3 linked regions of the Ovis aries genome follow. The protein of the gene in region 3 interacts with the protein of the main gene of each other region in a pairwise test. Links are inferred from orthologs where the notes say so. Each region holds a gene or a part of one and is shown on either strand. Other genes may lie near its edges.

Evidence for each region. The genes of interacting proteins can lie anywhere in the genome.
Region 1: the proteins of HAX1 (region 3) and SAV1 interact in binary tests that used the Homo sapiens proteins (3 or more experiments, as listed by UniProt). The link is inferred for Ovis aries from reciprocal best matches to the Homo sapiens genes HAX1 and SAV1.
Region 2: the proteins of HAX1 (region 3) and IL1A interact in binary tests that used the Homo sapiens proteins (3 or more experiments, as listed by UniProt). The link is inferred for Ovis aries from reciprocal best matches to the Homo sapiens genes HAX1 and IL1A.

What each region holds. Positions count from the first base shown.
Region 1 is NC_056060.1:41,781,294-41,785,488, forward strand, and holds the start of SAV1 (protein salvador homolog 1), read right to left. Parts: upstream 2,806-4,195; 5' UTR 2,446-2,805; coding exon 2,352-2,445; intron 111-2,351; coding exon 1-110. UniProt on the Homo sapiens protein: Regulator of STK3/MST2 and STK4/MST1 in the Hippo signaling pathway which plays a pivotal role in organ size control and tumor suppression by restricting proliferation and promoting apoptosis.
Region 2 is NC_056056.1:60,201,649-60,205,826, reverse strand, and holds the start of IL1A (interleukin-1 alpha), read right to left. Parts: upstream 2,806-4,178; 5' UTR 2,744-2,805; intron 2,104-2,743; 5' UTR 2,096-2,103; coding exon 2,049-2,095; intron 828-2,048; coding exon 779-827; intron 1-778. UniProt on the Homo sapiens protein: Cytokine constitutively present intracellularly in nearly all resting non-hematopoietic cells that plays an important role in inflammation and bridges the innate and adaptive immune systems.
Region 3 is NC_056054.1:104,558,250-104,562,504, reverse strand, and holds HAX1 (HCLS1-associated protein X-1), read right to left. Parts: upstream 2,801-4,255; 5' UTR 2,733-2,800; coding exon 2,680-2,732; intron 2,159-2,679; coding exon 1,854-2,158; intron 1,716-1,853; coding exon 1,528-1,715; intron 1,101-1,527; coding exon 1,049-1,100; intron 926-1,048; coding exon 819-925; intron 690-818; coding exon 599-689; intron 451-598; coding exon 365-450; 3' UTR 186-364; downstream 1-185. UniProt on the Homo sapiens protein: Recruits the Arp2/3 complex to the cell cortex and regulates reorganization of the cortical actin cytoskeleton via its interaction with KCNC3 and the Arp2/3 complex. Slows down the rate of inactivation of KCNC3 channels. Promotes GNA13-mediated cell migration.

The DNA of each region.
Region 1 (4,195 bases), on a different chromosome or scaffold from region 3:
AACTATTCCATCTCCAGAAGCTGAAAAGGCATTAGCGCTTGAATCTGGAAGACAGATATCAGTTCGTCTTGGAATTGTTGGACCGTGCCGGATAAAAGAAGGCATAAGATCTATAATAAAACAAAAGAATAAAATGACTAGTAAGTAATATGCTTTTCCAAAGTTGTTTATTTACATCTTACCCCAAAATGAAAAATTTCAATGGACTTAAGAAAACACAATCAGAAACTTTAGCAAAGTATCTGGGTATTTTAAATTGAGGCTGATTGCCATATTCCCACTCAAATGAATTTATAATTTGTATGAATGTGTTATAAGTATGCTCTACCAGATTCAAACATATTCTGCATACTACCAAACATAATATAATGAAACATCAGTAAGTTTAACTACAAAATATGTATTAATGCTCATGAATAAATGTATAAAAATAGTAAACAATCTAACAAATGAATACAGTTACCAGCATAATTTAACATTAGTTTGTTTTGCAGATTGTACTTCATTCCCAAACTCTTCTTTAAGTAAAACACAATTTAAAAAATGAAACAGATCATAATGCTATTCTCAAACATGTAAAGGCGAATTCCTTAAAAAAAAATTTAAAAATTATTAACCTGGCATTCCTACTCTTGGAATTACGTAGCAATAGTACAATACTCAAAAGATGGAAAAACTAAAAATTAAGCTATGAAAATTAAAATTTTTTTTAAATCTCATTTCAAAGAGACACACAAATGTTGAATCAGTTCAAAAACAAACAAACAAACAAAAAACGCCAAGTCTAAAACCATTACAATTCAAAACAATTAAGAACAATTACAATTCAAAACAGAAGAAAACAGGGCAATGGCTTTAAGGGTACAGTACTTCTGAATATAAAACTTAAATAAATACCTTAAGCATTCCTGGTTAGAAAGCAAACACCTTTAAAACAAGAAGAAAACTGGATCTGGAGACCATTTTATTAGTTCACTAAGTAGACAGTATCAGAGGGCACGCATATTAATATGCAACAGAAGCCAAACACACAAAAATTAGTAACCGAATAAACAAGGTTCAACATTTGATGAAACTAAAACAAAATACTATATATCAAAAGTTATTTGCTAAAAGGTGTGGCAAACATATTTCATGATTTTAAGGAATGTTGAATAACACTGTTATCTGAAGCTAACTGCAAGCTAACCTAAACTTGGCCAAAATCCTAAGAGAATATGTAAATGAAAAATAAACTATTAAAAAAAGTTTTTAAAAATCAAGTTTCAGGTTACTGATGTACCCATCTGATCTGTTCTGTAAGAAAGCATTGCAAATACAAGGATAAATCTGGAAGGTTGATGATGTGGTTATAATGGGAAAACATGCTCTCCACCCCTTTTTGTGTGATCTTGGGCAAATATTACCAGGAACCTCTATGAAAAGCTTTCCCAATTACAATATGAGGTAATGCTTAAGTCACAAAGTCACCAGCTTCCAAGAAGGAAACTTAACAAAGGACCCAGCATTTAGTATGAACACCAAAAAACTTGCTCCTTACCTCACAAATGTTCTGAACACATAAGCAAGAATTAAAAACGTAAAAGATTCAGGAGGAAAATTAGAGTCAAATACTTAAATTGAAGATAAAGTGCCAGCGAAATGCACTCTATTAAAAAATGTTTATAACCACACACACAACTTTTTTCGTAATTTTCCCCAAAGTATGATGGAAATTATTTTGAGTCTTTGGCGGATTTCTAGGAGGTTTTATTTGAAGAAATTCTCATGAACACAGCCAAACACATATAATTTTGGCTCTTCAACCCTGAGATCTACAACTGAGGAGGCTTTTTGGGCAGCAGCTACAATAGCGACGGTCAGCTTTCACCTCCGGACGTCATCATCCAATAGCTGGACTAAGAATTCTACTCAAGCGTTCGCACAACTACGAGCAGAGCAAGTGACACCCACAGTGTTTGCAAACACAATGCAAATCTAGACGTCACAAGAGGAAAACGTGCCCCAGTGTAATCCCTTTAATTCCTACAGAACCAGCGGATGAGCAATTTGTTTCCTAAAGAATATCTTTCTTCCAGTAATCAAAACCAACAACATAGTTTCAAGAAGGGAAGTCTGTGGATTTTGACGGGCGGGACAGGGGGCGGGGGGTGGGAACAGAGGTGGACTAACTTAAGTTTTTTACTCTTTATCAGCTTTCAAACAACGAACATCACTCCAGGCATTAAAAAAAAAAAAAAATCACAGAGGCCAAAAGGAAAGAGAAGCCGCGGGGAGCGGCGTCGGACACCCAGCCCGGGTCCCCCGCGGCCGCCCAGGCCAGGTGTGGGCGCACCCCGCCCGACACTCACTCCGCAGCAGAGGCGACGTCTCCTTCTTCACGTACTTCCCCTGCACCTCGGCCGGCTTGGACACTTCGTTTTTGGTTTTCTTCCGGGACAGCATCCTTGACCACGAGGCCCCAGGCCACGCCAAGCAGCCGCCCTAAGGCTCCGCGCCGGGCGCCGGGTGTCCCCGCCGCCACCTCCGCCGGCGTCGCCGCCTCCTTCCCTCCCGAGCCGCCGCCGCCGCCGCCGCCTCTCCGCAGCCCGGGGTTGCCCACAAGGACTGCCGCATGTTCGGGGCGCTAAGCGCGCCGGTCACCGCTCAGTCGCTTGTCAGTTCCTTCCCGGAAGTCTGCCGGCTCCGCGTCGTTGCCCGAGGACTCCGAGAGAAGAGCCAGGAACGCCCGGCCAGGGCCATGGTCCGCTGCTGACCACCTAGTAACCGCTACTGCTGCCGCCGCTGTCGCCGCCTACGTCCCGTAAACTTTCCCTGCGGCCGCTGGGAATTCTGGGAAACTCGACGCAGCGCGAGCGCCGCCGCCCCTCCCCCACCCGCTCCTGGGCGTGGCTCGGGCCAGAGGACGCGGGGCCGCCCTCTCAGCTAACGGGTCGTCCCAGCGTCTTCAGGAGGAGGAGCGGCTGCTTTCACTCCCGCTCGGCGAGGAGCAGGTCTGGTGGGCACTTTGGACGAAACGTGCCAGACTGAGCGCAGGAGGCCGTGGCGCGCTCCTGCAGAGGAACCTCCTCTACCCGCAGATTTTTCTCTCAGGACCTTGAGGGAGCTGGTAATGCCCCCAAGATGCATTCGCGTCCTCGGCCACGAAAGAGGACGTCCCTCTTGGAGTTTTGGGGGCTGGTAAATTCAAGCCCGTAATAGCACAGAACGCCTGTAGAGTCGAAGGAACGCCACCCTTACGCTAATGCTGCAGCCAAAGAAATCTAGATCTTTTTGTTGAAAACACCCCGTTAGTGCCAGGGAGTGTGCGTCTTTCTGATAAAGGAAAACACGGAGGAAGAAGCCGAAGTGGTGTTTCTGTTATCTGTGATGCAAGATAAATTTGATATTAGCGTGATTTATTTATCACTATCATTATCCACCATATATTTCCTCTTGGAAATATGGAGTTGTCAATGGAAAAAAAATAACCTCTCATGGGAATACAAAAGAGTTTTATTTGAGCCGAACTGGGAAATACAAGTCCAGAAGACAGCTTCTCAGGTAACTCTGAGGACATCCTGAGGGGAAGCATGGTTTTCAGCATAGTTTTGTCAGAACAAAACATTCAATAAGTCAGGAATATATTCCTTCAAGGTTTCAAAAAAAAAAAATCAGTTTGGAACACACGAAGTTATTATTGCCTTGGTACGTGGAAAGGGAGTCATCCCTGAAGCAGTAAAAGCATTGGCATCCCAGGAAGGGAGACATTGAATTTTTGTCTTTATCATGGACAGCCTTGTTAAGTGTTAGTTGCCCAGTCACCAGATTACTTCTAAGTTAATGAGCCTGTTAATAAAGCAGATGTACACTATGTGTTGGATAATCCACAAACAGGGCATTTTAGCTAAGGTAAAAACTTGTGTGCAATCCAGAGTGACTTCTTCAGACCTCAGTATGTGAAAATTTCTTTCATAGAGTTAAATACTCCTATTTTAGATTTCTTTCTGTTTTTGTTTTTGAGAATTTTGAGCACTAAAGGTCAAGACCTGGGATTTTTAATCTAAAAGAAACCCTGCTTTCTTCTATTTAACTTAGCAAAGGTGCAAAATGATCAGGATAACATTTGAGAAATAAGATGGGATCCACCTCTAGTGACCAAATTGAGGCTTTGACAATGGAAAGTGCTTTCTTTCCCTAAGATAGGAACCATCTT
Region 2 (4,178 bases), on a different chromosome or scaffold from region 3:
CAGTACCTTGTAATAACCTATATTAGAAAATCATCAGAAAAAAATGTATCACCATGCTCTACTCCTGCAGCTAACACAGGATTGTAAATCAACTACACTTCAGTTTAAGAAAAAAAAGAGAGAGAGAAGTGATGAGACGGGTCTTCAAGTGATGCTAGTGAGTGATTTAGCCTTCCAGTTAGTTCTTTCCAGAAGGTTAAACATTTACTTGACACGGCTCAAATATTTTAGGAATATTCCTCTAGATACAGCTTTTAGAGTCACTATCAAAGACACACAAAGCAGGACCTATACTGTTTCGTGGTCTCTTAGCGAAATAACACAGCATCTGAATGACTGCAGATTTTTTACTTTCAGTTGGCCTGCTTCCTCCACCTCAGCTTCATAGACTATTAGATCTAGAAAGCTATCTCTAATCTCTGGAGCTGATGTTAGAGAGGATATCCACAACATATCATTTAAACCCCTGGGGAAGTAGCCCAGGGGGCCTGGCCAGGGAGGGCATAAGCAACCTTCTGATCGAAGGCTGACCCAGGAGATTTCATTCTTGGAGTTTCAGGTTCGTTCTCCTCTGTTCTGGGAAAATCCACGGAGATGAAGGGTGCCATCAGCTGTTAGTCTAGAGAGGGAGCTGGCCTCACTTATCATGAAGAAATGAATCTCTCTGGACTTCAGTGAAGGCAGAACAAACGCATCTAAGATTCAGCTGTTGCTGTTCTAGTAGAGAAAATACTGTGTAAGGATAGCAGTCTCCTAAGAATTACAGTCATTTGCTTACCTGATTCAGAGAGAGGTGGTCAATTTCAGAACTGTAGTCTTCATTTTCACTGTTAAACAAGATGATGAGAATTTAATTCTGTTTGTTATATCACTACATTCCCTGGGCAACATATTTTAATAACCAAACTAGCTTTGGGTAACACACATACATAGCCATTATTGTCATCTTTGAAAATTAAGGACTTCTATGCATACACATCCATACAGTAATTTGTACCTGATAATGTGAAATTAGTAATCATCAGACCAGGCCTTGAACTTTACTTGTACTCTATCGATAAAAATGAGGCTTGGACAATTTACTGTAGAGCACAGGTACTGTAACCTATAATGGAATATAATCTGAAATACATATATACATATATAACTGAATCACTTTGCTGTACACCTGAAACTAACACAACTTTGTAAGTCAGCCATACTTCAATTAAAAATTTTTTAAATTAGCTCCCCCTTCATCAAAACAAACAAATAAATGAGGCTTGGCTAACGGATTGAAGAGTGGTAACTGAATTTCAGGGAAAACATTTAAACTTCAGGGAGAATTCCTTTTGAAGCACTTCATCTAAATTTGAATCAAATAGGTTATTTGTTACACTTTGCTTTCATGTATTCATTAAAACAGATTTAATCATTATACTTTCCAAAACATGCAGGCAACACTTCCATTGTCTACTTTGTGTTAGCGTGTAGGTAATGTGGAACACTGCATCTGCTTAAGGTGTTCTATAAGTTAAACTTTTTATTATCTTTCTTTTGCGTCCGAATGAGACTGACTGCGTAGGTTTCACATGCTCAAATTGCTGTGAAGCCATTTCCCATTCCAGACTGAGGTCAAGAAGTTTTCCTAAGAAAGGTTTCTCTTTCTGACCATCTATTACTGTAGCAGGGCATGTGAATTTGACTGAAGCTGGGTCTAAGTAGATGTTGAGAACTGCTAGGAGTCAGGAGACCTTAAAAGTAATCTTTCTAAAATGGCCATCTCTCTGTCAAAAATTTCACCTTGGTTTACCTACTAGATGCTTAATTTCCCTGAGACTTCTCTGAATCTGCCCTGACTTCAGAGGTAGAACACATCTCTATAGCCTCTGCTGGTCTTGCCCCATTGATAGTTACTGTAATCCTAGCTGAATTCTTTCTTTTTTAAAAAATATTTATTTTGAGCACAGAGTCTTAGCCACTGGACTCCCTGGCAAATCCCTCCTAGCTGAATTCTAATGTGCCTTGCTTCCCTCATTAAGTCACAAGAGACAGAATCTCTTTCCTACCTGTAACAGTTCTTCAGGTCTTCAAAGAGGTCAGGGACTTTGGCCATCTTCACTTCTGCAACAGAAAACACCAGTAGCTGTCAGTCTGGCCATTGTGTGAACAAGACACCTGCAAGGGGAACCACCTCCCTTCTGCGCTTCTAAGACACTTAATGAATGAGTGAGCTCACACCCAGCATTCTTCTTTTCAATTCCTTTGAATGATCTGCCTATGTATTTGCCTCCCCTGCTAGACTGTAAGCTTCTGTTAGAATCTCAGTATCTCTTAGGCATCCAACCCAATGCATTGCATTTGGTAGGCATTTGATGAAAATTTGAATAAGTAAAAAACCAAAACCAAAGAACCCCAACAAGCATGAAATATTTAATTTATACAGTTGCAAGAGAGAGAAAGAGTTAGAAATTCCCAGTTTTCTCTGAATAGTTTTTGACAGCAGAGACTACCCCTAAAGGAAGGCTTGGCTGTAATCTCATGCTCTCATAGGAAACCAGTTCCTCTGTCGCTCAATTTCCCACCAGCAGAGAGAGAATCATTTTCTGAAATCTGACTATGATTCTAATTAACTCGCCAAACCAGAGAGGGACGGCAAAGGAACGAAGAGGCTTAAGCTTCAGAGAAGGCAATTTGAGAGATCACAGCCAAGGAGGAAAAGCAAAAAATATTATAAGAGCCAAAGATGCGATAAGGACGATACCTTTCCTGAACCGAGCTGGCAACAATGAGATGACTGGCTCCCTCGTCTTCGCGCGGAGGCTTGAACTGAGCCAGGCTCCTTCGCCTTTTGTCTGCTTCGGAGTGGGCGTGGCCACGATTGCGTCACTGGGAATTTACAAGATTTCTGTTTTGTATGTAAGTTCATTCGACCTATACCGGTCCAAATAATGACAAATTGTGTACTTGAATATAGTGTTTTCAGGAAAAATTCCTAGAGATTCCAGGAGTTTCTGACTTGATTCATTTATTTATTGCTTTTGCTGTTAACAATTTTAAACGTGTGGTCTTAGAAAAAGGGGAAAAGAGCAGGAAATTTAAATTTCTAAAAGTATTTGGTGGAGGAGGGAGGGAAAACCCAAAGCAGAATTGTAGATGGTTAGAGTTGGAGGGGTGCTTAGCAGCTTGTGTTTCGGCTTATTTCGTTTATTGCACCCCGGGGCTGAGTATGAATTGATGGAATACTTGACAGCCCCTGGCAGCTAAGGAGTGGCTCTTGAGGGAAGCCGATCCATCTTTTCTGCAGAGGTTTGCTTGAGTAGCCATAAATCACTCTGAGTGTGGGAAGGCAAGCTCCCAGTTAGGGCACGGTAGAAGACAGAAAATCGGCAGTCAACCACAAAAGTCAATCATTTTACTCCTCTGAATACTGTCAGTCTGTTTCAGACAGAAGTGACAGAGCTTTATGAGAAAACTCTATGCCCTGGCTCATGTTACAGCAAAGTTACCTTCTACCAGAGCCCAAAGAGAAGTCTAGTCTTCTCTAGGTTAAACCCAAGGTATATTAGGATAGCTGGAGACTCAGGGAGTAGCTGGATTCAAGAATGGAGATTGGGTGAACCTCCCTGGTGGTCCAGTGCTTAAGACTCCACGCTTCCACAGCAGGGGCCATGGGTTTGATCCCTGGTTGGGGAACTAAGATTATACATGCCGTACGGCATGGCCAAAAAAAAAGATTGGGAGAAAGGAAGAAGGGACTCATACATGAAACTGATTCAGTGTTGCCTGGCTGTTATCATCAAAGACTTTTTCAGTATTCCGAAGATGGCCCAATTCAGGTGGCAGGACACCAGACTCAGCAGATAAATGTCTTTGTTTTCCTGGTTGGAGTTTAAGCCACATAATTTTAAATAAAGGAAATGGATGGGGAGAGTCAAGGAGGAATTTTTTAAAAAATTTAAGAGAGAAAGACAAGGCACCAAAGTGCAACATGTTATTGAAAAGCACAAAAAGCTCAGAACCAGAAGTAAAGTGTGAGTAAGGTATGATGTTTGGTTTTGTTACTTGTAAATGATGAGGCTGATTTTGTGATCATCAAGGTCTGTCCTAGGTGCAAAGTCTCTGGTTCTGAATCTGTAGCCCAGTTCAGTTCCTCCTGGTCATAGATCTGGTGTTATAATAGTTATAAACAAGAGCCA
Region 3 (4,255 bases):
CCTGGAACTATCACTAGTTATTTATTAACAAGGAAAATCATTTCCTAAAGGTACCTGGTCCTTACTTATCAGAATCAGTTTTGCAAGTAAAGCAAAGAGCTAATCTTTTGTGGGCCAAGTTAATTTGGGAAGCCCTGGATACTGTGAGAAAGTGGAATAGCCACGACAAAACCAAGACCAAAGAATTAGCATAAATAAAGGTTTTATTGGTCAGTTTGGGTGACTGACACACTGACAGACCTTCAATTCACTGTTCCACACACCCAAGGTCCTGAGGTGGCAGGAAGACAACTAAGCCCATTAATACCAAGCAAAGGGTGGGAAGTGGAAAGAATCTAAAGGTCTCTGTGATTAATTAACAAGGCTACCGGGACCGGAACCAACGTCCTAGGAACAAATCCAGGATGGAAGAGGAATCATCCAAGGATGGAGGTGTTGGTGATTCTGGACCTAAGGGAAAGAGTGATACACACAGGCTAAATGAAGGAGACTGGAAAGAGGCAAAGGAGGGCAGCAATGTTTAATGGTAGGAGAGCAACAGTTTCCCTTTCCCATGGAACTAAGAGATGGATCCCTTTGATTTATACTCTTCACTTACCATCTCTAGGACTGCCGCCTGCCTCTTGATGGGTTACTGTGGTCTCTTTCCGGCCCTCGCTGTCCACCACAGTCCGGCGCTCCTCTATAGTCTACAAGAAGAAGTCCCCCCACCATATCCCTAACATCACTAAAGGTGGGTTCACTTGTTTCTTTACATAGTCCCCCTTTCCAGAACATTCTCTGGTCACAGCTGCCTTTACCCATCTCTCCCAACTCACCCCATCTGGCTTAGTGATCTTGGTCACAGAGACACTCTTGAAATAGGTTTTGGGTTGGGGCTGCAGAACTGGGCCAAGACCCTCCTGAGAAACCTGGGAATCAAGATCTAGAAGGGCACAGAAAGGAAACAAGAAAGAGTCCAAAGCGAAGAAGGGGACAAATGTGGCAGACAGAAATTTCAGGGAGGGACACCAAAGGGCTGGTAAATGTCCTCTCCCTCCAGACTTACCATTGTCTTCTCTGGCTCTAGAGTGGGGGGTCACAGGCCACGTATCATCGAACTGTAGAAGAAGCCAAAGTAGGTCAAATGACACCTTTCAATCTGAAGTTTGAGGGGCCCCAGAACCCAGCCTATTTCCAAGTTCCAAAACTACTTTTTTTTTTTTTTTTCAGGAGAAATGATCCCAGCAGGATGGCTTTCTTTACTCACTCCCCCTCCTTCCTACCTGATTCATGTATTTCTCTACCAAAAAAGCATTCCTGAACTGACACTTTTCTGTCCTCCTTCAAACATTTCTGCTTTCTCCAAGCATCGTCTACAGTAATTTTTAACAAAAAGCAGAACTCCCATTTCCTCCCAAAGAAAATCCTACACAAAGCTTAATATAGAAAACAGACAAATACAACCCAAGTCTGTTAGATTCCAGCAAGGTTTCCAGTCTTTGCAGTCTTCTCCACAGCTCCCACTTCAGGCCCAGATGTACTCACCCTATGAAAAGGTCTCTGGGGGCCCCAGTCTGGTGCTGGTTTGGGGGATTCAGATCTTGCATCACTCTCCAAGCCCCCACCAAAGATCTTGGGCTGGTGACTATCTGGATACTTAAGCATTGAGTCCCGAAGCGTCTGTCCTTCCTGCCGTCTCTCACCAGGTGTCTCTGACTCAGGACCTGGAAGTTCTGCAGAAAGGTGGCAGGTGGATGCTGGGAGTAGGAAAGGACTTGGGCTCTTTTAAATCTCCTTGAAATCATCAGCTTTCTCACACTTCCCAACACCCCCAACTACTCTCTGCAAGTCTTTTTTTTTCACCCACCGACCCAGTAGAAACCACAGGTTCTTCCCCAGGAGCATCCACACACCAGGAGGGCGGGAAGGCAAGGTCCAGGCCCCCATCTCGCTGAAGATGTTGTTGAAATCCCGTACTAGGTCATCAAAGCCGAAGTTATCGTGGAAACGCATTCCTCCTCCCGGGCTGAAGCTGAAGCCAAAGCTAAATTCCTCAGGGGGCTGGGGACCCTCAAACCTCGAGTTCCCACGGCCCCACGTGACTCCTTCTTCTTCCTCTTCCTCATCATCTTCGTCTTCATCGCGAGTCATTCCTCCAAAAAAGGGATCTCTGTGGCTAGGGGTGGAGGCAGATTAGCCACCAAAATTTCAGCACTTAAACCATAGCATCAGCTAAGACTCGACGAGTAGGACAAGAGTTGGGATCTGAGGGCCTGGAGTGAGGGTAGAGGACTGGCCATCGGGTTTGTTTTGCTTCATCAACGTCAGTCCTCACCTGGTGCCCCACCCCACCCCGCCCCGCCCCCAGCGCTTCCCTGCGGCTTTTCTTAAGTGTTTCCCAGCCCCTGCCCTCCCCCAAGGTCTTGCTCACTTGTCCTCGACTCCAGAGCCCATTGTCTTCCCCACCCGGTCCCCTGTTACATCACCCTAAACTGGAGAAAAGCTTAAGCGGCTGTTTCTTCTCTTAGCGACCGCCCTGGTTACTGTCGGGGGGTGAGTGTTCAGTGTTGACCTTTTTTTCCCCGCAGGAGTTTTAGGAGGGTAGAAAAGGATGTTTTTCCAAAAATAGGGTGTCCAGGGTCAAGCTCCCCTCCGAGTACTCCCGCCCCTCCGTGTCTGGCCGGAATCCGCTCTCACCTCCGAGGTCCAGAAAAGCCGAAAAAGCCCCGAAAGAGGTCAAAAAGGCTCATTCCCGTAGTGGGACTCGAACCTTTGAAGCCCACAGCGGGTAGCAGCCAGAGCTACGCTGTCGGAAATTGAGCGAAGCGTCAGACCACGCTGCCGGAAAGCAAGCATGCGATCGCACACTGTCGTAAAACAACCGTAAGCCGGACGTCGCTGAGGGGCGGGGCGGGCGATCCTATCAAATTCTAAAGGCTTTCACTTTTGCCCCCACCTGCTTCCTGTGAAGGGAGCGGGCGTACTGAGTTTTTATTTCCCAACGAACACTTGCCCTCTAAGCCAATTCTTTAGGCCGACCAACCCACTCCAGTAGGGTTTCGAGGGTTTGACGCTTGATGGCACTGGAGACAGCCGCCAGAGGGCACTCCACCCACAGAAATTAACCGGACCCAGACCCTTCCTCATTGCAGACTCACCACACCCACGGACCAGTGTTCTGCCTTAAACCCACCCGCTCCCTTCTTTCATCGTTTGTTTCTCGCCTGACTTAAGTCTAGTATTAGAGGAATGGACAAAATGTATCAAGCTCCTTCTACTTTAATAATGACATCCCCAGAGTAAAAGACACAGGAATGCATGGATTTAACTTCATCTCTCCAGCTATTAAGTAGTTTGCCAACGTAGGCTCTGCAACCATCAGAATAAACTTTGTGAGAGCGCAAGGGAAATCTAGTCAAGTTTTGGGAAGGAAGAATTTGGAGGTGTAAGTGTCCCCTTTTGCCTATCAGTGACTTTCAAAGCCTCTCCCCCTCTCTGTGCCCTCACCTCCTTCCCAAACCTGGCCTTGCTCCAGCCTCCTCCTCTTCAAGGGTGTGGATATTAGCTATGTGAAATGAAAACACTCAAACAGCAAGATCTACTGCTTCAGTTTTGCTAGCCAACAGTGCATATTTCGCACTCATTTCTTTCCAGTTCATTTGCACGGACCCATCTAAATTAAACTTTGATTCTATCAATACAAAGCGATTTCTTTCAGTTCTTGGTTAATCCTCTCCCTTTCCACCCAGTATCAGCTATCCCACTCCCTTCACTGCCTACAATCTGCTACAGATGACGGAAATGAACATTTGCAATGATTCTTTACAGGCACCACTGTGAAATTTTTGAGGGAGGGCGAGGGAATCCCCTCAAGGGCAGCACATTAAGGTCAGAGGAGTTCTTAAAGGGCGAAGATTTCGTTTTTATTCCACCGCCTTCGGGGCCTGCTAGAGAAGGCCCAGTTGGTACAGTAATATTTATTCACCAAGCTGGTCATCGACGAGACTGAGGACATCCTAGACGGAGCAAGAATGGGCAGAGGCTGAAGGTAGAGGTTTTCTTTTTATATATACAAGACACATTAATCCATTAAATTTGAGGACACAGTACAAAAAAAAAAAAACCACTTCAACTAATTCATCTGACAATGCTGTTCATATTCATGACGCCATTTTTTGTTGTTGTTTTGTTTCCTAATAATAAAGGAGGAGACTTAGGGCTGTTGGGCTGATATATATTTGGGGGTCCCCCCTCCCCACCTCACCCACACACC